Ovis aries: one gene and its partners. The protein of the gene in region 3 interacts with the protein of the main gene of each other region in a biochemical or structural test. Links are inferred from orthologs where the notes say so. Each region holds a gene or a part of one and is shown on either strand. Other genes may lie near its edges. The genes, in order: NFE2, MAPK8, ITCH, MLANA, NUMB, NDFIP1 and JUNB.

Region 1 (4,201 bases), on a different chromosome or scaffold from region 3:
TCACCAGTCCCACCCCCTCCGGCCAGGTCAGTCTGTGGCCTCCATCTTGGTCCCCCGGGGCACCAGGAAGATGGCCCCATCAGCAGCCTGGTGTAGCGCATACTCTTCAGGGGAGTAGCTGTTGCCTGCTTCATCCCGCAAGTGCTGGAAAATGTCACGGTACAGGTCCGTCAGCTGTTGGCGCATGACCTCCAGGGTCCGGTCGGCCTCGCCTCGGGCCCGGAGAAGCCGCTCCCGCTCGCTGCCCAGCCGCTCCAGTTCCCGCTCCAGCTGCACGATGGTCTCCAGCTTTCTCTTGCGACAGTTCTGGGCGGCCACCTTGTTCTTGCCCCGCCTTCGGATGTCCCGGACCAGGGCCAGCTGGCTCTCTGTCAGCGGGTACCGCGCCAGCAGCTCGTTGAAGTCGTCTACTGGCAGGTTGACAATCTTGTCCGTAGGGAAGGGGATCTTCATGGCCAGGGCCCGCCGCTCATCCCGACTCCCCGCCTCCCCCCGTGCAGTGGGCTTGGCCCGCACAGGGCCCGAGGAGGGTTCTAAGGCTAAGGGGGTCTCGGCAGGTGGCAAGGCATAGTTGGGGTGGGTCAAGGAGTTGGGCATTAGTGAGTAGGGGTACTCCACTGGGTACATCTCTACATACTCGCTGCGACGCCGGCCAGCCTCCGTCCCCTCCAACTCAAGAGATTCAGCGTCACTATAGTTGAGGGATAATCCTGAGTCAGATTCTGGGTCTTCTTGGGGCTTGGATGGCCCCGCTGACAACCCAATGTCCAGGAGGGCCAAGGGGTCTGGGAGGGGGTCACTGAGCAGGCCCGAGAGGGTCAGTGGCTTGGAGACTGGTACAGTCATGTTGCTACCATAGGAGTACGGAGGGTCTGGGACATGAGACGTGGGTGCCGGGAGCTCATAAGGTGGTGTAGGAAGGGGAAAGCCAGGCTCCGAGTGGATAGAGCAGGGGCAGTAACTTGGAGGCGGCGGGGGCCCTGGGTATGGGACAGGGGCTGGGGGCTCGAATGATGGCTCACTTGGAGCATTCAGACCCTGCAAGAAAAGACACCAAGAGGTTTGTAGACGGGCTGAGGAAGAGAAGAAACCATCTCTCTCTCAGAACCAATCTAAGTCCCACTGAAAGAACTAGTGAGATAATCACAAGGGAACAGAAAGTTGCTAATAATCATTAAAAGCTTCTGGCAAAGTTGTGACAGAGCAAGTTCATGAAGAAAGCGGCTTAAACAGGAAGGGCACTCGCTGAAGTCAGACTTCAGAAAGGACTAACGCCACAACAGTTGTGGAATCCCCTCCTCTTCAGGAGAAGTTCTTACTGGCTTGAGATGTCTCTTGTCCCTTTATTTCCTTCAGGAAGACAAGGAGTCACTCCACGATGACCCTTGGAACCCTTTTCCTGCTGCCATTATCTAGGGTCAAAGGGTCAAGTTCAGACCCTGGCCATGCCCTGGGTGCCCAGCAGAGGGAGCTGCTGTGTGGGAAGAGAGCTTAGGGCAGATCCTGAGGACCCAGGCTGGCATGGGCACAGTGCCAGGTCTGGGGCAGAGAGTTACTTCGGGGAGCCACCGTGAGCTCTGCCCTTTCCCCTCCAGTCCCTCTGTCCCTGCCCAGGTGCAGAGAGGAGGAGAGAACATGCTGAGGAGAACAGGGCCCCCAACCCACATCGGGGAGCCATCCTGCTCCAGCCCAGCTGGGGACAAAGGCATCATTGTTAGGCCAACAGACACCCCTTTGTCCAGGTAGCAGGAGGAAAGGACCCCGGCATAGCCCGACCCCCCACCCCCACCCCCACCTTCCTGAGGCCCCTGAACTACAGCTCTGCTACCTGAGGGAAAGGGGCCCAGCTGCTGAGGACAGGGGAAGGAAATGAGGGATGAAGACGGGCAGGACTGGAAGAGGGCAGAACAGAGGAAGGTGAAGAAGGGAAGAAGGGAAGGCGGGGCAGGAGGTGAGGTAGAGAGCCGTGAGCAGAGTGGCTGCTCAGAGAGCTTGCACCCCCAATCAGATCCTTCCTTCCCACCACTGCTATCTCTTGCTCATCCGCACCCCTCCCCCTCAACGCTCTGGCCTTCCCTCCAGATCTCTTCGACTCCAGCCCTTCTTTTTACAGTGTCCAGAAAATCTCCCATCTTGAGACCCTGGGCTCTGCTTGCTCCAGTGCCACCCCCTGCCACACACACCCAGGGCCTCGATCCCAGCCAGACTCCCTGTTTCGCTGCTTTTCCCTCCCCCCACCACCTTGTTCCCCACTGCCTGGCTTACCTGCAGCTCAGTGATGGACATGATCTCCTGCCAAGTCAGTTCCATCTCACCTGGCTCCGGAATGGGTAGCTGTGTTACCCTGTTCCTGCTCTGCTGTGGAGGACACGGGGACATCCTACTGGGCCAGGGCCTGGTCCAAGGTCCCGAGAGCCCAGATGGTCCCAGCAACCTATATCAAAGAGAAACAAAGGTTAGGACCTCTCCTGCCACGGGTCAGCAGTTTTATCCTTCTTCATTGAGCAGCTGGGCTTCCCAGGTGGCGCAGTGGTAAGGAATCCACCCGCCAATGCAGGAGACTTGGGTTTGATCCCTGGGTGGGGAAGATCCCCTGGAGGAATAAATGGCAACCCACTCCAGTATTCTTGCCTGGAAAATCCCATGGACAGAGGAGCCTGGCGGGCTACAGTCCATGGGGTCACCAAGAGTCTGACATGACTGAGCGACTGAACACGCACGCATGCACAGAGCAGCTCCCTCCAGCTTCCCCTGAGGGAAGGAGACGCTTCATCCCCCCATCCATGCTGCACTCATCAACAACTCCTTAAGCTAGAAAGCCTCTTTCTGCTGTGTTATCTCTACCTCACCTGCTATGGCTGTAGGCAGTTCCTCTGGGAGCTCTACTTTTCAGATAAGATGCCTTCTCTTTCCCCTACTGCTGAACTCCTCAGGACTGCATCACAGGCCAGGACAGAAGCCACATCATCTAGGGTGGTGGTTCTGTTTTTCCTGTCTCCTGCAGCAGCCTCAGGGATCACTCCTGCTCTCCTCCTCTGCCCTCAGTTTTAGGATCTCAGTCTTTTCCTTCCAAGTTGAGAGTGAGTGCTTGGGGATCCCCAAGGAGCGTGTTGTGGGAAGAGCCAAGCAGACAGCCCCTCCCTTTCTCTAAGATAGGCCCTGGGCCTGCTGGCTGATAGCAGCCCTGCCCTCGCCTCCTATCCTGGTCCTGGGCTCCCCTGCCTGGGCCAGATAAGAGGTTTATCAGCAGCAGGCAGCAGAGGAGGAATGGTCTCTGGAGACACTGGACCTCTGCCCTGTGTCCTGCAGGGTCCTCTTGGCTATACCCTACCCCACAAACCAGGTCATATAATAACCACAGCAAAGACTTGCTTGGCATTTGTTGAGAACTGAGCCTGGGGGTCTATAGGCACTCATTTATGAGATTGATTTTCACAAAGATCCTATAAGGTCCATTCTGAATCTGAGACTCAAGCTGCTAAATAGCAGAGTCAGGTCTGGTGCTTAGAGTTGCTGACTCTCCTGCCGTCCCATCTTCCAGGTGCCTTCCCAGTCCTGCTCCCACGTCTTGCTACGCCGAGACTCTACTGGTAGTCAGCATCAGTCAGCTCCTTCTGTGGAATCTCGGCCTCTTTTCTCTTCTAGGGAATATTTCTTTAGAGACTTGAATACTCACTCCCCTTCAGCCCCTTTGCTTTGGATCTGGGCTGGAGTTGCAGACCTGCGCAGCAGCAAGATGTCGGGCAAGCCGTCGCCTTTCTCTGAGCTTCTGTTTCCTCATTTGTAAAACCAGGGAGTGAGACAAGTTGAATTTGGAGGTCCCTCCCTCTCTGCTTGGACAGTTCAACATTCTCAGCAATCCCTCAGCCCTGCCTTCATCTTCTCCTTTCTGTCACCCTTTCTCCTCACTCCACCTCCCTATTCCCTGACACCCATCTCACCCTCATCTGTTCTCCCTGCCTTTGGCAAGACACTCCAAGCAGATTTGGCAGGGGCCCCCTGCTCTCTTAGGGCCACGCACTGTACCCTATATCTGCTGCAGAAGTAAAGGCAGGCAGACTGGGTGAGTGGGGGAGACTTAGAGAAGGACAGGCAGAGCATAGGGTTGGAGGACCTTAGATCACCACAAGGATGGCCCATCACAGGTATTTAATGTGGAATCCACTCTGACTCACCACAAAATTCACGAGAGCTGCAAACT
Region 2 (2,528 bases), on a different chromosome or scaffold from region 3:
ATGTTTTAAAGTTTCAAAAACTTCTAAAACTAAAAAGAACTAGCCCATCTTTAGCTTATTTGACACAGTTAGAGAAGAGGGAAAGTTGTATTGAGATACTGCATTTTAAAAACCCAGGGCACACAACACTTACAGACTTTGTTTTTAGGATGTATCTTAAGTCTACATGACTATTAAGAGTTTTGTTTTCTCTCAATCAACTGAAACATGCTGGGTGGCAAGTGGAGCTGGCATTTACAACAAATGATACTGTTAAAACACCTGGTTTTCCTTGCTTAACCAACACCTGCGCCAAGAGATGGCTCATCAGCAAGGAAGCAGAAAATGAAGGGAATCTTCTGGGAGCATGTCAGTTGTTAAAGTGCAACAGTGAAATAATCTATTCTATAGAAATAAAGCTAGGTAACTGTCAAGCTAATAAAACCTCAGCACATTCGTGCTCAAATTCTCCTGAAACTGCAAATCCAATCCTGTTTCTACAATTCAAGAGGTGTCATAGTCTCAAAACTTTATTTTGCCTAATAAAATTAATGCACCCTGTCATATGAGTAGAAAAGGAATAAAAAGACTGCCACTTCGAAAGAGGCTGGAAATCATGGCTTAAACAATCAAAAACAATCTTACTATTTTAAAACATATAAAATGGCTGTTAATGTATTTTGATCCTATATATTGCACATTAACAATGACCTAAAATACCTTATTCAAAAGGAATTTTGCACTGAATACATGAATACCGTGCCAAGTGGACGTTCATATGCCACACATTGAATCGCACCAGTTCCTACTCCTGCTGGTCATTAATTCCATTGGGCATTCTGCCTAGAACTTTTTGCTTATTTAAGTATGCATTTCCCAGTTCATTACAAGAAATCCCTCTTGTTCCAAAAATAATAAAAAGTGCCTGGGGCATTACAGACAACATATTTCAGAGATAATGAGACTTCAATGACATTTTACTTAAGAAAAATTCTGTTATAGAGAAATAATTTTGCAGATATAAAATGTAAACAATTAACATACAACTGTCAGGAGCAGCACCATTCTTACACTATTCAACATCCACATCGTGTGTTTTATTGAAAATTAGGTATTAAAAAAAATGAAAGACTCAGACTAAATAACTACCACTTATGCCTGCTCTGCTCAATATGAAGAAACAGTCCTTAGAAAATGATATCCTATATATGGCTGTGTGCTACTATTTTCAGATGAACGGTATATTGCTCATTTTATACATCACCTACAGAAATCTAAGTAGGCTTTGGAACCTCCCAACAGCTAGTATAAATATGATTACGCCACAGGTAGAATCAAATGGCCAGAAACACCCTGAGAACTGGTGCTCAACTGACTGACACTCTAACAGGAGACTGAATAGGTCCAAGGGCCCGAGGCTGTAGGAAAGAGAAAGACCAGACTCTAGATCATTGCTAGGACCTACAGCCTGAGTAGATTAACTCAGTGTATACAAAAACAGGCTCACAGCTAGTACAGGTGAACCATCTGTTTATTTGCGTTGAAATGTATTATTCATGAAGTATCCTCTTGACTTTATGTGATCATAAGCTTTGAGCATGCCACAAATTTGCAGGAAACACCATATTCTCTTACTGTACTGTTGGTGGGTGGGATACGGGGATAGGAAGATGGTGGTAGATGCCCAACACTTTCAAAGACATGCTCTGAGTTATTCTGCCATTCAGATGATGGGGCTTTTGCCAAAATTCACATAGGATTACCTATCAGTTGTATGTAACTAAATTAGAATTGGCAAGTAGCAAATATTGGAGGTTTTTTTTTTTTTAAAAAAACACGTTCATCATTTACAGTAGTTATTCCTGAATATAACTGGCTACAGGTTATTTTCCCTCACTCCTCTGGGGTTATTTCATTGATAAGCACATAACCCTAAAGGATAGCATCATGAACAAAACATTTGAAATAAATTCTAATAAAAAAAACTATAAAATCTTAAATAATTCATGATATAGGCAAGTCACCACATAATAGTTGCTTTGATAAACAAAATCTTACAAATTCAGTAAAAAAAAAAAATCAGCAGCATAAGATAAAGCAAATATGCAAAAATTTTAAACCATGATAAAATAATTAGGTTTACATTATACAGTTAATTACAGCAAAAATACACAGTTCTGTTGCTGTTTTAAAACACAACTTAAATTTTAAATTACATCACTTGAAATTAAAAAAAATAAACTACTTTACTACAAAATGAATTCTACATTTTTGAAAAATCACTCAAAAATAAGACCACTGAATTGTTTTCAAAGTAGTTCTATCAATGACTAAACAACTCCCCATCCCTCCCACCCCCCGAGGCCCAAGTAGTCATCTACAGCAGCCCAGAGGCCCAGCCGACGCTTCTAGACTGCTGTCTGTATCCGAGGCCAAGGTCGGATCTGTTGACATTGAGGACACATCATTGGCAGACGACGATGATGACGGACGCTGAGAGCCACTGGTCACTGCTGCACCTGTGCTGAGGAACAGAACAGCGAATCAGT
Region 3 (3,500 bases):
TACCACTGAGCCACCTGGGAAGCAGTATGTTCTTCAATAATTATTGTCAAACTGTAACATCAGAATAACAAAGCTGGAATATGATGCTCTAATAGTCATATTTTACCTAAGATTTTTGGGTATATTTCTATAAAAATAATCACACTGAATAATGAGATTTAACATAAATCATGTAAATTCAGTAAACCAATTACATGCTTACAGTCTGAATACATTACCAATACTATAATGAAAGCATACAGACTAGAGACTTCCCTGGTGGTCCAGTAGCTAAGACTTCAATGCAGGCGGCCCAGGTTCAATCCCTGGTCCGGGGAACTAGATCCCACATGCTGCAACTAAAAGATCCTGCATGCCCCAAAGGAGATCAAAGATCCTGTGTGCCACGAACTGAGACCCAGCAAAGCCAAAGAAATAAATATTTTTTTAAAAAGAAAACATATAGATTATATTTTGATAATTAAAAGGAAACAAACTTACTTAACCCAGATGAGAGAATTGTAAAATTCTGGATCAATCGATTCTAAATCCTTCAGTCCAACTGGTTTATTCAAGATACGCTTATAGAATGGCAAAGAAAAACCTGTGTCTATGAATTTCCCATGGAACAGAGCCTATGCAAGAAGAAAACAATCCATAATTTTATAATGGTCCCTGTATTTCAGAATGTTAAGATGAGTTCTTCAGTTAAAAGACAAAACAAACTCCCCATCATACAATCTATTATGGAATATTTCTGGGAAAAGGGAAGATATAAGAACCCAATCTTAAGACATGTCTTAGTGATGAGAAAATTTCCAACGAGAAAGTTAAAGGCACAATGCTTTAGTATTGCTGAATTAGCAAAGTAAACACAGTTCTCCACTTGAACTTACCATTGCAATAAACCTGCCAATAAAACGAAAATATTTCAGGTGATCTGGATTGATGTAAGAAGCGGGGTTTATCTGCAAGCAGTAGTTATCCTTCCCTGCATATTCAAACAGGCAATACATTGGGTTCAACACCTCATGTGACAAAAGAAAGAACCATTCTCTGAAACCAAAAGAAAATTTAGGGTGAAAAATCTTGTAAGTAACCATACCAATAAATCAAAGAGAAGTGCTATAAAGCTCTCAGGAATCTATACTCCTCACGTGGTGATATTTCTCTAGTTTCACATTGATTTTTACAGCTTCTGTACAAACCGCCATCTATTTTACAAAGATATTTACACACTGCTTATTTCAAAGAATCTAAGACATCATTGACTTTAAAGACAACATTATTTGATGAACCACTAAAAAAAATTTCCAACTGTAATACACATCTCAGTTTCAGAAATGTTAAAATATGAAAACTTTAGTCTTAGAATCAGTGAAATACTAAACATAGGCAAGTTTAAACTTCACTGTCGACCCATGTGGTTAGAGTAGCTGAAACAAGTCTAACATTATTCCATCCATGTCCAAGCCCCTCAGTGATGCTCATTAAGTGCTACTGCTCTCTTAAATATGAAAAAACTTCCAATATCACAGAGGCAATAAAACACTTAATTCAAGCTACTCATTCATTAGAAAAATACACTGAGAAGCTCTAATTCAAATGCTGTGAAAGTATCAACCAATACTAATGTAAGATTATAGTTACTAACTATGTAACAGGGGTGAGGATCTGGCAGAACAGTCGGTAGAGTGAATCTGGGGCAATTTATCAGTTCATGCCCGAGATTCCTTTTTTTGTTGATTTATGGCCTCTGGTGGTAGTCTTGCTTATACTTAATACTACTAGCTAGGAATGAATGATTACCCTCCTCCTGAATTATCTTTACTTTAAACAAAATTAAATGTTTCTACTCATATTTTTATTTACCTGTGATTACTTCATACATTTTGAAATATGAACTTTGAAACAAAACCTAAGTAAAAACCACTAAAATGCAGCGACCAGTTAGTGACTCCACAAAGACTCAGGGTCTGAAGTAGGATATTAATAAACTATATTTCTACACTTTACAGCAATCCCAGAGAAGCAGTTATGATCACTCTTATTATACAGATGAAGGCAGTTGCCCCAAGTCATACTACTAAGTACAGAAAAAGGATTCAAATGCAATCTTGACTTCAAAATCCTTGGCTTTTTGTAAGGCCACTGATATGCAAATTTTTAACTCTGTATGATATATCATTATGGAATAAGCAAAGCAACTTGCTGCTTGAGTCTGTCTTCCAGGGTTTGATTAGAAGCTTCAACATTAAGAAAAGAGAATTTAAAATTTCAAGTCCTATTTCATATAGCCTTCTATACTCTCAAAACAGTTATATATATATTAAACTCAGTTAGGAACTGAATGACTATTATTTCTATCAACAGTCTGTGTTGCAGAATGTGACCTGAACACTCTAGGGCCTTGTACATTTTACGGAACAGATATGATACAGTCAACTGAACACTGGCTTCTAGTTTGATGATGTGAAACTTGCATCCAGGCTCTACAACTTAGTTATGTGTCTCTGGTGACTCTCTATACCTCATTATTACCTGGAAAATTCTCTCACAGAATTATCCTGATGAATAAATGAGTGATGTGGGTGAAATCAACTAGCGGTACCTTAGAGAGAGAAGTGTTCAATTAATGGCTTTTGAAGTTTTATAACTGCAACATTTAATAAAGGTACAAAAATTTGCTACATTTCATTTTCCTGAAATAGAAAATTGAGAAAATACTTGCAAGCAAAGTGTAATGATACCTTTGGAGGAAAGGAACTAAGTTCTGAGTATTCATATTATCACTACCTTGCTACACCTCCATAATCTAAACCTTCTTCTCCTGGAAAAATCACCCACAAACGTCTTCGCAGATCTTGAGGACTGAAGCTCATTATCTACCGAAAAAAAAAAAAGGTATAAAATTGGTAAAAGTAGAAACACCTTAATCACTTACTTCCGGGTTAGAAATCTCCTTCATTATAAGTAACTTAAATTCCTCAGGATATAGAATGGTGTTTGTAGTTTGGTCAATTCCACACATATTAGAAAATACATTAAAGTTTCATAATATTTTATAAATTACACATATTTATATTTCTCTATACTTTATATATAATTTTCTTTTAAATGATCCTACCACTGCTTGAGTCTGTCTTCCAGGGTTTGATTAGAAGCTTCAACATTAAGAAAAGAGAATTTAAAATTTCAAGTCCTATTTTACATAGCCTTCTATACTCTCAAAACAGATATATATATATATATATATATATATAACAATTTTTATATATAGAAAAATATATTTATAACAAAATAACAATTTTATATATATATACAAATTATATATATATATATATATACATATACATATATATATATATATATATAACAAAATTCCTTCTCTCACTTGCTTAGAGCAGAGTAACTGACCACAATCAGACGTCAGGTCCTTATTTGGTCTGGGCCAGGTTTCAGTTTGTTTTATACCCAAAAGGTACAGATAATAGCCAATTGGCTAACTTGAAAATGAAAAA
Region 4 (4,296 bases), on a different chromosome or scaffold from region 3:
GCCAAGACAGGTCACAGTATCCCCAGTGAGCTGGGCCTGGTCCCAGAGCCTCTTCTGGGGGAGCAGACAATGCCAGCTGCCTTGCAGTTTCCACCCTGGAACGGTGCCCGGGCACACTCAGGGCCCCCGGATTAGCTCACATCACTGAGGGACTTGAGCGAGACCCAGGAGCTTCCCTTTGCCCGGAGATCCAGGTTAGTACCTTCTTCCTTTCTGGCCTGGGTGCTCATCATCCAGGGGGCCATGTTAGTTGAGTCCAGCTTAGCATGTATCAATCTCTAGGCTCAGAACTGCACCCTTTAGTTAACATGTCCTGTAGGATTCTAGAACAGAAAAATGGCGCAGGTGAAAAACTAAGGGTATCTCAGTAAGATATGGCTGTAGTTACTGGTTCATTATTGTAACTAATTTAAGATGTTAATAACAGGGGAACTGGGTGTGGGATATCTATGTATTATCTTCATATTTTTCTGTAAATCTAAAGCTGTTCTAAAAAATAAAGTATACATTAAAATTAAAAAAAAAGGTTAAGTAAATAAAAGAACTGCATTTTTCTTTCTAGACTAGCACACACCACTAGGCCTTCCTGGGAGTTATTGGGCATAAACATGAGTCTCAGGTTAAAGCTGCTCTCCTCAAATCCCTTGACACCAAAGGCTTGTATCCTTCCTGATTTTCTTATGAAATCTCCTAAATCAGCCTCAGTTCTGGCAGTCCAGACCAAGTCTGATTCTTTCTCTGCTGTGGGGCCTTTGCACTGGTTCTTCTCTATGAAACACTGTCCATCTGTGAATGGCTGACTCCTTCTTGTCACTCAGATCTGTTTGCATTTTTTCTCCTTTTCAGAAAGGAGAGAACAAGGATCTCACCTAATAAAGATCAACCTCACTCATGCTGTTTTATTTCTCCCACATCATTTCCACTGATGATTATCCAGTGCTGATAATGCCCTCACACGAGACAGTCCAATGGGAACTGGAAAGAACCATAAGATCTGCAAGGTGGGGAAGCGGACCTCATGTTGTAGTCGCGTTAGTCAATCAGTCATGTCCAACTCTTTGCAACCCCATGGACTGCAGCCCACCAGGCTCTTCTGTCCATGGAAATTCTCTAGGCAAGAGTACTGGAGTGGGTTGCCATTCCATTCTCCAGGGGATCTTCCCAACCCAGGGATCGAACCCAGGTCCCCTGCATTGCAGGCAAATTCTTTACCATCTGAACTACCAAGGAAGCCATAAAGGGGAACCTTAGTGGTCATTTAATCTAAGTGCTTGGCTGATGAGAACTCTCACATTCCTTAATTCTGGTGGGTGTTTTGTTTAGTTTTTGCCTGTTTACAATGGTTACAGAGAGCTGGTGCTACTGCTGCTGCTGCTAAGTTGCTTCAGTCATTTCCAATTCTGTGTGACCCCATAGATGGCAGCCCACCAGGCTCCCCCGTCCCTGGGATTCTCCAGGCAAGAACACTGGAGTAGCTTGCCATTTCCTTCTCCAATGCATCAGAGTGAAAAGTGAAAGTGAAGAGTGAAAGTGAAGTTGCTCAGTCGTGTCCGACTCTGTGTGACCCCATAGATGGCAGCCCACCAGGCTCCTCCAACCATGGGATTTTCCAGGCAAGAGTACTGCAGTGGGGTGCCATTGCCTTCTCCGACAGAGAGCTGGTGAGCAATAATTCTGTCCCACTGAAATGCTTCTGGGCTGTACACATTTGACTCTCAGAGCAGGCTATGTAGGTTGAATTAGCCCTGGTTTCAATTAAATTCTAGGTAGGTCATATCCACCTTCAAACAGGAAATTTTCTCTGCTCCTTGCCAATGCAAGAAACCCATTCTTCCCAAGGGACAGTCGTCTCTGAGGGTGTCACAAAAGACCTGGGAGCTTAGCTCAGGAAGTTTCAGGGATCCTCTAATTCCTCTTCTTGATCAGGAAGTCGTGCTCCTAGATTACCTTCAGGCCTGAGACCAAAGGCTCACCCACACTTTGAGGTGAAGATGAGGGTGGGTAGAGGGTACCCCATTACAACTGAATTTCAAGTAAACAGCAAATAATTTTTTGCACTAAAAATATTTCATGGGACACCGTTATACTAAAATCTATTCATTGCTTATCTGAAATTCAAATGTAACTGGAAAGCCTATATTTTAACTGGCAATCCTACAGATGAGGGATCAGCATTAAAACTAATGACTCCCCTAAGATGAAACCTGGGATTAAGGAAAAAAGAGGCCACAGTGAGCCGTGACTTTTTGAGGAGAGGAATGAAGTTGGTTTCTTTCACGCTAATTAAGCAATCACAAACGACCCCATCAGAAATCTAAACTCGTGATTAACATGGGACTCGAGACCAGGGGGAAAAAAAATGAAAAAGGTTAAGAGCCAGAGAAGCAATCTTCACAGAAACGGCAGCCAGCAGACGGAGTTGGTCCCAGGAAGGCAGGTAAGAGCAAAGCCTTTTCACCCACTCTTTCAGAACAGAACAGGCTTTGGCAGATTCCAGTGGACTCCTCCAGCCTTTCTGATACCTGGATGTCGGCAGAATTCTCCTCAATATTCACAATTCTCCGACTTTTAAGGGTTCACAAAGTCTCCTCCTAGGTCCTACCTCTAGACTGCCCAGAAGCAAAGCAGAGAACCAGGAAAAGCAGTTGTTCAGGCTGTAACTGGCTCAGGAACAGCTGTGTCTACTCCCTTAAGAACCACTTTTCTTGGCTCAGGTAGGATGAAGTACATTTGCTGTCCCGCCACTGTTTGCCAAGGCTCGAAACTGGAGGTATAGATTTACAGAAACGAACTTAATGCAGAATTCGTTTTGTGTCTGTCATTTTGAACAGAGTTCATCCCCACATTATTCACCTGAGATGATCAGTAAGGTCAACTGTGACTTCTTTACAACTGGGAAGCGCAAATGACACATGCAATGCCCCAAGGAAAGGGTTCATGGGGTGAACTCTCCACTCCCCTTTTCCACTTCTATTCAGCTGTTTTAAATGGGCTCATTAATATAACTCTATGGGGATCAGACCTATGCAATTCACAAGAACAATAAAAGGAATGAAAAACGCACAATAGCAAGGAGAGAAGAGAAATCATTGTTGGTTTTTAATAAGCACACTCTAATAATGACCACTAAAGTTCATGAGCTTTTTACTTGTTTGTATCATAGTTTAAAATTTCATATTTTGGGGACAGTTTCCTTTGTTGGAATTAATGGGCTTGAAGGATGCTGTGCTGAGACACATGCCCATTATATCATCATAGCCTTTTATTTGTCCAAGGATTGATATAAAATAATACCTCTGGAGAGAAATAACTCCTCTTATTAATCTGTCTTGAGCCAGGGAAAGTAAGGAATGAATTAAAATGCTTTTTGTTTATTTCTCTACAAGTTTGTGGTATAGAGTCAAATTAATTCTCAAATCACAACTCAGTTTGAAAGTTTTTTCCTTTTGTTTGTGGTTTCTTCTTTGAACTTAAATTTCAGTTGGTAGAAAGGGGTTAAAAACCTGAGCAATTCCCACTTGACATCTGTGAAAGAAACAAGTACGAGTCCTTGCAGAGAGAGAAAACAGAGGGTTTGGATATCGTTTTCAGTCACCTAGCGAGAATGTCTTTGTGGGTGTTTTTGAGATGGTAAGAACACTCTGGATGCATGAAATGACACCTGTGTGTCCCTGCTGCTAGGTGTCCCGTGGCCTGACCCTACAAGATGCCAAGAGAAGAGGTTCACTTCTTCTATGGTTCCCCCAGGAAAGGGCACAGCCACTCTTATGTCACGACTGAAGAGTAAGTTCAAAATCAGACCCAGCGGGGTTACAGTTTGCCGTTTGCTGACACAGCCTTTGGCTTCCACCAGCACATGTTGGTCCGTAAATCTCTCTAGTGTTTATTTCTCCAGAAATAAACCTGGCAATGAGGTAAGGAGACCCTGAGGTCCTACAAAAGGTCTCAGGTTTCTCTGAGGCCAAAGAGGCAAAGAGGCAGGGAAGGCAAAAACCTGGATCTTGCCATTTTTGTTGCATTCTTGGCTATGAGGCCTTTACTGTGGGTTCCCAGGCTGAAAATCCTGTCTGAGAGCATGATGCCTCTGTCCTCAAGCCTTGCCTGACTGCTCCACTTGGGCTCCCAGAGGTGGTTTGCAGATAGAACAGAGGCAAGTTGCCAAAGGACAGTGAGGTTGAAGGGCAGGTGCGTCCCTCCACCTGCTGACTGAGTCCAAGGTGAAGAGGGTGGTCATAACCTTTGCATCAATGCTTTACCCTAAAGAAAGGTGTTTTGTATTATGAATTATTTAAAAAT
Region 5 (3,500 bases), on a different chromosome or scaffold from region 3:
GAGTTCCTAACATTTTGCCTGTGTAAAAACAGACTTGTTTGTGGTCCAGCTAATGTGTAGTTGTTGACACCATAACTCTGAAAACGTTTTTTAAACCTTCTGTTATGTACAGGGTGAAAGACTGAGCCACGCTGTAGGCTGTGCCTTTGCAGCCTGTTTAGAACGTAAGCAGAAGCGGGAGAAGGAATGTGGAGTGACTGCTACTTTCGACGCCAGTCGGACCACTTTCACGAGAGAAGGATCATTCCGTGTCACCACAGCCACTGAGCAAGCAGAAAGAGAGGAGATTATGAAACAAATCCAAGATGCCAAGAAAGGTACAATTTGTCCTACTACAATGTGTGTTTATTTAAAACAGCTTTTCCCAACCGGTTAATATTTGGAAGCTGTCAGGGGCATAGAGAACTCTTAGCAATATATGAAGACCTTAAGAACAAAGCTGAAAATGTAAACAGAGTGGCTTGTTTAGTGGCCTCAAAGTATTTACTCTGTCTGTTAATTTTAACTACCTGGGGAAGCTGAGAGTGCAGTTGAAGAAGTTGCAAAGACATTTAAAAGCAAAATTGGGAAAACCTGTATCTTTTTTTTTTCAATTGTGATGCATCTGATCTCTATGAAAACCAAATGCTATCAAGGACCTACATCTTGAAGGAAGTGCAAGTCCCAGGTTTAAGCTGCAAAGGACCTGCAGATGGTGATGCCAGGTGGAAATGCAGGCAGAGACATCTCAGTGATGCTCTATTAGATTATGACTGTTTAGTGCTTTCATGAAAAAAGGCCACAGATTTTTGAGAAGCTGGCCCCTCACTATTTTTTCCATAGCCCCATTAATTTTAGTGTGTGGTTTTGCAGAATGTGAGTTTTTTTAAGGTACACTTGGCAGCATAGCAAAAATGCCTGTCCAGACATTCAAGTTACTCAGGAGGCTGTTGTCTGAAGTTGAGTCCAGTGTATTTTAGAACTGAGTGCTAGGGCTTAGGGAGAAAATGCTTTGCATTCTTGTGTATAACTTGGGCTGAAACCCAAAGCAAGGAGTATTTTTAAATTAAAAAGTTTGGTTTAAATATACATTAATATAATTTTGCCAATTTTTACTATATTCTTTTAATTCTAAACCTGCCATTTTAGGTAACATCAGCTTCCCAGGTAGCACTAGTGGTAAAGAACCCGCCTCCGAGTGCAGGAGCTTTAAGAGACATGGGTTCAATCCCTGGATCAGGAAGATCCCCTGGAGGAGGGCATGGCAACCCACTCCAGTATTCTTGCCTGGAGAATCCCATGGACAGAGAAGCTTGGCGGGCTACAGTCCATGGGGTCACAAAGAATTGGACACGACTGAAGCAACTTAGCATGCATTCATTAATCTAATACCCAAACAGCTTTTAATTTTTAAGCCAAAAAAGAATATATGTTTTCATTTGAAATTGAAGTAATGATTATGATTTTTTCATTTCTTATCGACATTTCTGCCAGGATACCAAAGAACAAAAAAAACACAGTGCTATTTTAACTAGACAAATGAATGTGTATAGGCTGTTATTTAATGTGCCTCAGTGATTTTCAGACCGGAAGCATATTCTTTGATACCACCAAATAATACTTTTTGCTACATATAGCAGCTGCCCAAATGCTTGAGTCCTAGCATCTACAGAGGATTATGGGGAGTTGGGGAAGTAGAGACTGACCACAATGAGAGTGTGATACAGCAGGTATTCACATGGAAACAGTCTTGTATTTGTTTACTCCAATTTAAAATTTGACTTCTGTATGCTTTTCTTCAAGAGAGCCTGTTGTCCAGGCCTGCTTTATGACTTAACATCTTGTCAAACTTAAGTTTGTTTAGACCCTTCTGACTCTGCCACTCCTGAAGTCCTCTGTCCCCGCCTCACTGGCCAGAAAGCAAACAAACATTGAAAACAGTGCACTATTATTCGTTAAAAGACCTCACATTAAGAGTTCATAGGTACTGGGGGGTTTTGTTTTGTTTAGTTTTGTTCAGTGTTTTAATTACTACATGAGAATAGTAGATATACCATGTGACATGTAGTAGATTATTAAACCCTTTATTTATCTGAAAAACAGGAGATCTGAGCCCTGCTTCTAACCTGTCTTTTGAGATACATAGGGAAGTAGATGGGTAAAATGACCCAGGAGGTTTTTGGGGTTCCTTAGTGATGTGAGCTCAAATTATTTGAAGACATTGCCCTAAGGTCCTCATTCTCCTGTTTTCTTGAGCTGATACAGATAAGACAGCTGATGGTTCGTCAGTGGCCCCTGGCAACATTGTCACCTCCCCATCCTCTCCCACCTCTCCCACTCTGGATGCCACTGCCTCTCTGGAGATGAACAATCCTCACGCCATCCCACGCCGGCATGCACCAATTGAACAACTTGCTCGCCAAGGCTCTTTCCGAGGATTTCCTGCTCTTAGCCAGAAGATGTCACCCTTTAAACGCCAACTGTCCCTGCGCATCAATGAGTTGCCTTCCACTATGCAGAGGAAGACTGATTTCCCCATAAAACACACAGGTAACATGGCATCCCCAACTCCCCGGGGCTCAGGCACTGAAGCGTTACATCACCTCCAGTGGAGTCCCTGATCCCATCAAACTATCCACCCCTCTTCTGAGGCTGTTTGGTGGCTGTGCATAGCTTGTATCATTTCCCATTGGCAGAAAATGGAGGTTCACAGAGAGAGATGGGAGTTGTTCATTTATTTTCAGCAATAGGTTAACAGAGCCATGATGGAAATTCCTAGTCCAAGTTACATGGTTTGTGATTTGTCCTGATGAAAGTGTACCTGCTTTCAGACATCAAGGGTCTCAAGTTTCCCTTCTTCTTCTGCCATTTGGGACCCAGCAGGGAGTTAATTTAAAAGGCTTTGGAAACACATCCAGTTAAATAGCACCACTGTCAGATGTACCAGAAGAAATGGATAAGTTCTCTTTGTCCTTGTGGCTGGTTGGCTCCATAGGGAGGAAACTCTAAACAGGTCTCCTGTATAAATCTAAGATCTGTTGTTCATCAGAGACAGTGGGATTGCTCACACATATTCATTACCTTTCAGAGCTGTCACACAGGCCTTTGTGTGGCCTTTGTACAGCTGAGCCAACCCCAGTAGCTCTATCCTCATCATAAGATCCGAAGCTTAAGTGTCAGATCCGGTCAGTGCTTTTATTGGGCCCTATTTTACTTTGCTCTCAGACATGTTGAGCCAGTGCTATAACAGAATCTGAGGAAGCCGTGTCTCAATAGGGCACTCTTACTGCTGGTGGCACAAAAGCACAGAGATTTAGGTTCTTTGATGGATAAAACTCGGCCTAAAGAACAGTTAAACTAGATCATTACTGAGGGTCTTGCCCCCTCTCAACTCCTATGAAAACCAAAACTCCAGATGCTTCAAGTACCTCATTTTCAATCTCCCTCTGGAGCAGGCGGGTAACAAAACCATTATTCTCTTTTCACAGTTGAGCAGACAGAGCTTCAACACATATAATTAG
Region 6 (3,500 bases), on a different chromosome or scaffold from region 3:
GTTATGGAGGATGCTGCATTTTTCCTTGAGCTGAGCTTCATTTTTCTGATCTTCAGAACGCCTTAAGCATTCCTCCTACTCATTCTTGACCTATAAAATAGGGAGTAAATGCCTTTGTCTGATGAATTCTGTTTTAAGCACTTCTGTTTTCTAACACATCAAAGTCAACCTCATTTTCCCCCCTTGATGTTATTTTGCATTTAGCTTTCCATATGCCTGACTTGGAAGTGAGCAACCATTTCAGAAATTTTATTTTCTGTATTAAAAAGATATGAAGGAAATGCAGTGCTTTTAGAGGTAACGCATTATGTAACCTGTCAAAGTTTACAGAAGCAAGAGGATGAATGACTTGAATCAGATTATTTAGGGGCATTAATTTAATGTTCAAATAATGTTTAATTACTCAGGTATAACACATACAGTAAAGGGTGCAAGTCATAAGTATGAAGTTTGGTGATATTAAGTTATTTCTTAAATTGTATAGCCGTAGGTGTAATAATAAAACACCTGATATTTTGAGACTGTGCTTTCTTGTTTGCTTTTGGGAGGAAGACAGAGGATGGCCATTTTGGGGAAGTGAGGTAAGAGTTGTGGATTGTGGGCTCAGCTCGTTTATCCTTGAGAAAGCCATTTTAGCAGAAGTAAATCCAGAGTGCACCCTTAGAACTCTTGCTCCTTGGATAACAGGATGTGTCTGACCTGCCTCTTTTCTTCTCTTGGCTTTTACAGTGGCATTCCTCTTTAACTGGATTGGGTTCTTCCTGTCTTTTTGCCTGACCACTTCTGCTGCAGGAAGGTATGGGGCCATCTCAGGATTTGGTCTCTCTCTAATTAAGTGGATCCTGATTGTGAGGGTAAGTTAAGTTGTACACCAGCAGTGATAGTCTCTGGAGAAGAATGAGTGGAATAATTTTGAGTATTTGACTTTGGAATTATCTCAACATTTAAAATGATTTTTTGTTTGTCTTTGTCTGGTTTCAAGAAATTGAACCTAGATCAGTTGTAGTTGGTTCATGCACACAAGTTTTGTAGTCAGTCTACAAAATATTGGTGGCCCTGGGACATCTATCCTTGTTCAGCTGCTTTCTCTGTTTTTAATGTTTATAATGTGGTACTACATGTATTTGTTCTGAAATTAGTTGTTTTTATAATAAGAGTCTATTAACTTTGTGGTCTCTCATCAAAAGCAGACATTGCTCTCATTAATGCAGCTGAAGTTTGAGTCCTTCTTCTCTCTTCCCCTCTATTCTTTTCTCCCTCCTTCCTCCCTCTCAACCTTCCTCTCTTCCAAGATTGGTTTTAAGTAGCATCATTGGTTATGCCAGGATATTTGGAGAGCCAGAACTGTTCAACAAGCCCTACTCCATTAGGGGCCCTTATCTCTAAAGTAAATACGAGAGAGATCTTAAGTGATGTAGGAGTTATCAGTTAGTTAGAGTTGCATGAAGTGATTGAAAGTTGTAAAAGATCTAGTTTCTTTAAGTGTCCTCTGATTTCAGAGAAGTTTACTGCCATTGTTAACTTTATAATATAAAATCAAGTTGTTTATCATAAACACTAAGGGGTGTTGACTGAGCCATGGAGTTTTTCAAAGTTATTTATTCTAAGGCAGTTAACATTTTTAGAATTCCGAGTTCCTTTGAGAATCTGATAAAAATTATGGGCTTTTCTCCTAGACAACTAACATATACTCTTCTAAAACATGGTCTTTAGGTTACAAACTCAAGCCATAAAGAAGTTTTTCATTCCTTCTCTAAATCTTATTAATCAAGAACTAAAACTATTTGAATGCTCAAACTGTGCTAAACTCTAGACTGTGTTAAAGTCTTCAACAGAAAGCAAGATCAAAGTAGTTACCAATCTTTTTATTTTTACTAAATTTTTTAAAAGAATTAATCAGCTTTTATCAATTAGGATGGTCTTTGGAGTAACAGAACATGTAGCTCAAAAATGGCTTAGAAAACATTGGGGAAATTTTATTTCCAGTGAAAATAAGTCCTGACATGAAGGTCAGTTATGTTTCACTGATAGTCAAGGCCAGCCGACAGGTGTTTCAACCTGTTGTACAGCTGGCCATGGCAGTTTCAAGCATCACATCAGAAACACAACAGTGCTCAGCAGAAGAAAGGAAACTCTCTCCTCTCCCTTCCTTTTTAAGAGCTAAGAAGCTTTCCTAGCAGCCCTTAGTTCCCACTGGCCACAATAGTATCATGTGCTATAGAGTCCCTGGCAAAGGAATGGGGTTATCATCATGTACATGGTAAAGCTTCCAGGGTCAAGGCCTGGCTGAAAGGGCAGGAACAAAATCAGGGATCATTACAAAGGAGGCCAAATATAGTTGAGTTTGGCACTGTGTAAGCAAAATAAAAGTTATCATCAAGATATATTTCTGGGGCTTTCCTGGTGGCTTAGTGGTAAAGAATCCGCATGCCAATGCAGAAGACACAGGTTTGATTCCTGATCCAGGAAGATCCCACATGCCACAGAGCAGCTAAGCCCATGTGCCACAGCTAATGAGCCTGTGCTATAGAGCCAGCGGGGTTCAACTACTGAGCCCACAGGCCACCAGCCACTGACGCCTGCGTGCTCTTGAGCTTGAGCCTATGCTGCGCAACGAGAGAAGCCACAACAGTGAGAAGCCCGTGCACTGAACCTGGAGAGCAGCCCTGGCTCTCACAACTAGAGCAAAGCCTGCACGGCAGCAAAGACCAGCAAGGCCAAAAATAAATAAAATTTATTTTAAAAAAAGACGTATTTCTAAAAGAGGAAAAATAGTTTTTAAAAAACAAACAGGTTTGAGCACTTTCAAAACAAGGACTATGTAAAGCTGAAAGCTACCATATTTCAAGGTTGCTTTTCCATGAAAGGAAGTATATTAGCAAATATTGTAATCATTTCAAATCTGTACTATATAAAATACTTTGACTAAAATTTTAGAAATTTTTGTAAGCACTAAATGAGCAACAGCATTTGTGTACAAGTTAAGATCTTGTGTTTTGTAAACTTTTTTTTTTTGTAAACTCTTAAGCTAAAATGTGAAATAATATCTGCAGAGGTTCTCTAAAGTATTTTGCTTTATTTTTCAGTTTTCCACTTACTTCCCTGGATATTTTGATGGTCAGTACTGGCTCTGGTGGGTGTTCCTGGTTCTAGGTAAGTGCTTTTAAAAAAGAAAGGAGAGAAAAGATTATGTTAAATTTTAGAAGTAAAATTACTTTTATTAAACCTTTATCTCACTTACTATACAGTAATATATTAGTGATAATAAGTATAATTTTAAAAATATGTCAAAGGTTAGGCTGTTATCACCATCAGAGTAACATACATAGTCATAGAATGTCTCTTGGTGGTGGTAATTTTTTCCTAACCCATCCATACACACTTCTCACATTTTCCATGTAGCCAGAGGGGCGTACCAATAAGATGACTTTTTAATAGTCCTTAGATTTTTTTTCCCCCTTGTGAGTTATTGCCACATAGGGTTCACAAGCTCAACCCCA
Region 7 (3,560 bases), on a different chromosome or scaffold from region 3:
TCCGAGGCGCTGAACCCCGCCGGACACAGGGCGGGGTGCCTAGTCCCGTAGGATTCGAGTGACGGAGGCAGGGCCGGGCTCCGTCCCCCGGGGCTGTTGCCACACTTCCTGCCGCGGCGCTCTTTCCCCAGCCTGTTTCTAAGGAAGGAGTGGGGTTGGGCGACCGCGCCCCAGCCGTCGGGCTGGGTCTAGGCACTGGGAGCCGACACGGTGCCGGTCAACCTCAGGGTCACTAGGGGAGGGCTTTGGGGTGGGGAGTATACAGGCACCCACGAGAGGGGAGCCGATCATGGAAGGTCCCCAGGATCCTCAAAGACCCCTCCTTCTCTCAGGTCTCAACCGGGGACCCTCTCAATATCATCTCAGTTCTGAAAGGGTGCCTCGACCCTTCTAATTCTATCCTTCATTGAGGCTTCGCAGATGACCCCAGTGACCCCCAACCTCTGACAATCTTCTACCGCACGTATTTTCCTTGCCTCAGTGTACCCCAGGACCCTCACTCACTTTATGCGTTTCTAGTTTCTCTCAATGCCTTCCCCTTCCCGCTTGTCGGGGACTCTGTCTCTCTCCGGTGGGCTCCAGGACCCCGACTCATTTTTTGCATAGTGGACCCTCCAAACTCTCCCGGGTACACTTTTGATCTCTCCTCCTTATTTCACCTGGGTTCAGCTCCTCCCGGGAAAATTCCAGTCCCTCAACCATCCTGTACCCAGGACCCCCACTCAGTTTCTGAGTCAGATGTCTCCTCCCCCGCTTCCCCATCTACCTTGCTGTCTCTCCTTTGCGGGGTCTCTCAGTGTATTCTCAGCCCTCCAGCACCTCTGAAAGACTCCAGATCACTCAGGCCTTTCCGCGTGCATCCCGGGACCACCCCCTCCCCCCAACACGCACACACTTGCTCAGTACCAATTTCTCGTATCCCTTATCGCGTACTCCAGGGAAATCATCACCCTCCCCGAAACCTCTCCCGGTGTGCCTCGGATCGCCCCAGCAACCCCTTCCTCACGCACCCTAGGGTCCTCTGGCCCCTCCCCCTGCAGGCGCTCCGAGCCACCCAGCCCGTGGCCGCTGTTTACAAGGACACGCGCTTCCTGACAATGACGCGAGCCGCCTCCTCCCCTTCCCCACGCTCCAGAAGGGGGGTGCGGGGGCCTGGCTCCGGTGACAGCCAATCAGAGCGCACTTCCGTGGCTGACAACCGCGGTATAAAGGCTTGTGGCTCTGGCGGAGCGGCCGGGACCTTGAGCACGGCCAAGCCAGCACCGGAGCCAGCAGGGAGCAGGGAGCAAGGGAGAAGCGACACCAAGAAAACGAGCGCGCTAGAGAGGGGCAAAGGGGCTCGAGAAGCCGCACAGCTTCCTCGCACAGCCTCCGACCGGCCTCTCCCGACCAGTGCCAGCCCTCAGGAACGTTCGTCCAGACACCCGATACAGGCACAGCCGCGGACTGCGCGCGGCTAGCTGCAGCGAGGCCCGGGGCGGCCCCGTAGGGACCCCCTCAGACCGCCCGGGCCGCCCGGATGTGCACTAAAATGGAACAGCCCTTCTACCACGACGAATCATACGGAACAGCGGGATACGGCCGGACCCCGGGCGGCCTCTCTCTACACGACTACAAACTCCTGAAACCCAGCCTGGCGCTCAACCTGGCCGACCCCTACCGAAATCTCAAAGCACCTGGTGCGCGGGGTCCTGGCCCAGAGGGCAACGGCGGAGGCAGCTACTTTTCTAGCCAGGGTTCGGACACAGGCGCGTCACTCAAGCTCGCCTCATCGGAGCTGGAGCGCCTGATCGTCCCCAACAGCAACGGCGTGATCACGACGACGCCCACGCCCCCGGGACAGTACTTTTACCCCCGCGGGGGTGGCAGCGGTGGAGGTGCGGGGGGCGCAGGGGGCGGCGTCACTGAGGAGCAGGAAGGCTTCGCCGACGGCTTTGTAAAAGCGCTGGACGACCTGCACAAGATGAACCACGTGACGCCCCCCAACGTGTCCCTGGGCACCAGCGGGGGCCCCCCAGCCGGGCCCGGGGGCGTCTACGCCGGCCCGGAGCCTCCTCCAGTCTACACCAACCTCAGCAGCTATTCTCCGGCCTCTGCGCCCTCCGGAGGAGCCGGGGCCGCCGTCGGGACAGGGAGCTCGTACCCGACGGCCACCATCAGCTACCTCCCACACGCGCCGCCCTTCGCCGGCGGCCACCCGGCGCAGCTGGGCCTGGGCCGTGGCGCCTCCGCCTTCAAGGAGGAACCGCAGACCGTGCCTGAGGCGCGCAGCCGCGATGCCACGCCGCCGGTGTCCCCCATCAACATGGAAGACCAGGAGCGCATCAAAGTAGAGCGCAAGCGGCTGCGAAACCGGCTGGCGGCCACCAAGTGCCGGAAGCGGAAGCTGGAGCGCATCGCGCGCCTGGAGGACAAGGTGAAGACGCTCAAGGCCGAGAACGCGGGGCTGTCCAACACTGCCGGCCTCCTCCGGGAGCAGGTGGCCCAGCTCAAACAGAAGGTCATGACCCACGTCAGCAACGGCTGCCAACTGCTGCTTGGGGTCAAGGGACACGCCTTCTGAGCGCCCCCTTATCCCCCGTACGGACATTTCCCCAACCTGGACGGCTGGGCGCACGCCTCCCATGGGGCGAGGGGGCAGGCGGTGGGCACTGGCCCCGGGGCCTGAGGGCGCAACTAACCACACTGGACTCCTGCCCGCCCGCTCTGCGCCCAGTCCTTCCACCTCAACGTTTACAAGCCCCCCTTCCACTATTTTTTTTTATTTTTTTCCTGCAGAACTCAATTCATATTGAATATAATATATTTGTGTATTTAACAGGGAGGGGAGGAGGGGGCGATTGCGGCGGAGCTGGCCCCGCCGCCCGGTACTCTAGCCCTCGGGGATACTGGGGAGGGGACCCCCGCCCCCTGCCCTCCCCCCTCTGCACCGTACTGTGGAGAAGAAACACGCAGTCGGTTTCTAAAGGAGTTATTTTAAGCTGTGTTTATGTGTGAGTTCGTTTATTGTCCTTACTTTTTATTGAATCTATTTAAGTAAAAAAAAAAGTTCTTTATTAATTTCTGTTGTCTTTTTTTCAAGCCGGCCAGGGGGGAGGGAGGGGAGTACTGGGCAGCCCCCACCCCACGGCTGTTTGTGGCTTGCTCCTGTAACTGTGTCAACCTCGCCAGTTCTGTTCAGGCATCTTGCACCCTCAGCCGGGTGTCCAACCCTTCTGGCGTCTCCTGATCTCCCGGATTGGAAGGTCCAGGGTGTGTACACAGTCCAGCCACCCTTCCCCCCCCCCCCGCCCCCAGGGCCAGGGGACAGGATGCCTTGGGCAAAACGCTCAGCGCGCAGGCGCGGCACCTCCCAGCCGCGCGCGCCGGGGCTTTCCCCGCTGACGCTGCGGAAGCGCTGTCCAAACATGGGCTGATTCTGCCCAGTGACGCGACGGCGGTCTCCGGGCAGATTCCGGGAATCCCCTCCCCCGCTCTGCCGGGCAGGGCTGCGGCGCCGGGAAGGGGGCCGGGATTTTCCCAGGCTGGCGGCTACCGAGGCCCGGAAAGCCCCAGGCCTG

Evidence for each region.
Region 1: of the proteins of ITCH (region 3) and NFE2, one has a biochemical effect on the other in vitro, tested with the Homo sapiens proteins (2 studies listed by BioGRID, with this or other methods). The link is inferred for Ovis aries from reciprocal best matches to the Homo sapiens genes ITCH and NFE2.
Region 2: of the proteins of ITCH (region 3) and MAPK8, one has a biochemical effect on the other in vitro, tested with the Homo sapiens proteins (2 studies listed by BioGRID). The link is inferred for Ovis aries from reciprocal best matches to the Homo sapiens genes ITCH and MAPK8.
Region 4: the proteins of ITCH (region 3) and MLANA form a complex in vitro, tested with the Homo sapiens proteins (2 studies listed by BioGRID and IntAct, with this or other methods). The link is inferred for Ovis aries from reciprocal best matches to the Homo sapiens genes ITCH and MLANA.
Region 5: the proteins of ITCH (region 3) and NUMB form a complex in vitro, tested with the Homo sapiens proteins (3 studies listed by BioGRID). The link is inferred for Ovis aries from reciprocal best matches to the Homo sapiens genes ITCH and NUMB.
Region 6: the proteins of ITCH (region 3) and NDFIP1 form a complex in vitro, tested with the Homo sapiens proteins (2 studies listed by BioGRID). The link is inferred for Ovis aries from reciprocal best matches to the Homo sapiens genes ITCH and NDFIP1.
Region 7: the proteins of ITCH (region 3) and JUNB form a complex in vitro, tested with the Homo sapiens proteins (2 studies listed by BioGRID, with this or other methods). The link is inferred for Ovis aries from reciprocal best matches to the Homo sapiens genes ITCH and JUNB.

The regions. Positions count from the first base shown.
Region 1 is NC_056056.1:132,256,502-132,260,702, reverse strand, and holds the start of NFE2 (transcription factor NF-E2 45 kDa subunit), read right to left. Parts: upstream 2,801-4,201; 5' UTR 2,646-2,800; coding exon 2,632-2,645; intron 2,435-2,631; coding exon 2,266-2,434; intron 1,039-2,265; coding exon 28-1,038; 3' UTR 1-27. UniProt on the Homo sapiens protein: Component of the NF-E2 complex essential for regulating erythroid and megakaryocytic maturation and differentiation. Binds to the hypersensitive site 2 (HS2) of the beta-globin control region (LCR).
Region 2 is NC_056078.1:41,792,933-41,795,460, reverse strand, and holds part of MAPK8 (mitogen-activated protein kinase 8), read right to left. Parts: intron 2,504-2,528; coding exon of another isoform or gene 2,499-2,503; coding exon 2,353-2,498; 3' UTR 1-2,352. UniProt on the Homo sapiens protein: Serine/threonine-protein kinase involved in various processes such as cell proliferation, differentiation, migration, transformation and programmed cell death.
Region 3 is NC_056066.1:63,862,096-63,865,595, reverse strand, and holds part of ITCH (E3 ubiquitin-protein ligase Itchy homolog), read right to left. Parts: intron 2,865-3,500; coding exon 2,776-2,864; intron 1,036-2,775; coding exon 876-1,035; intron 615-875; coding exon 481-614; intron 1-480. UniProt on the Homo sapiens protein: Acts as an Acts as an E3 ubiquitin-protein ligase which accepts ubiquitin from an E2 ubiquitin-conjugating enzyme in the form of a thioester and then directly transfers the ubiquitin to targeted substrates.
Region 4 is NC_056055.1:74,040,133-74,044,428, forward strand, and holds the start of MLANA (melanoma antigen recognized by T-cells 1), read left to right. Parts: upstream 1-1,496; 5' UTR 1,497-1,661; intron 1,662-2,393; exon of another isoform or gene 2,394-2,437; intron 2,438-3,681; 5' UTR 3,682-3,706; coding exon 3,707-3,783; intron 3,784-4,296. UniProt on the Homo sapiens protein: Involved in melanosome biogenesis by ensuring the stability of GPR143. Plays a vital role in the expression, stability, trafficking, and processing of melanocyte protein PMEL, which is critical to the formation of stage II melanosomes.
Region 5 is NC_056060.1:82,826,680-82,830,179, reverse strand, and holds part of NUMB (protein numb homolog), read left to right. Parts: intron 1-112; coding exon 113-317; intron 318-2,235; coding exon 2,236-2,529; intron 2,530-3,500. UniProt on the Homo sapiens protein: Regulates clathrin-mediated receptor endocytosis. Plays a role in the process of neurogenesis.
Region 6 is NC_056058.1:50,835,312-50,838,811, forward strand, and holds part of NDFIP1 (NEDD4 family-interacting protein 1), read left to right. Parts: intron 1-729; coding exon 730-854; intron 855-3,086; coding exon 3,087-3,153; intron 3,154-3,500. UniProt on the Homo sapiens protein: Activates HECT domain-containing E3 ubiquitin-protein ligases, including NEDD4 and ITCH, and consequently modulates the stability of their targets. As a result, controls many cellular processes.
Region 7 is NC_056058.1:11,037,597-11,041,156, reverse strand, and holds JUNB (transcription factor JunB), read left to right. Parts: upstream 1-1,235; 5' UTR 1,236-1,519; coding exon 1,520-2,563; 3' UTR 2,564-3,060; downstream 3,061-3,560. UniProt on the Homo sapiens protein: Transcription factor involved in regulating gene activity following the primary growth factor response. Binds to the DNA sequence 5'-TGA[GC]TCA-3'.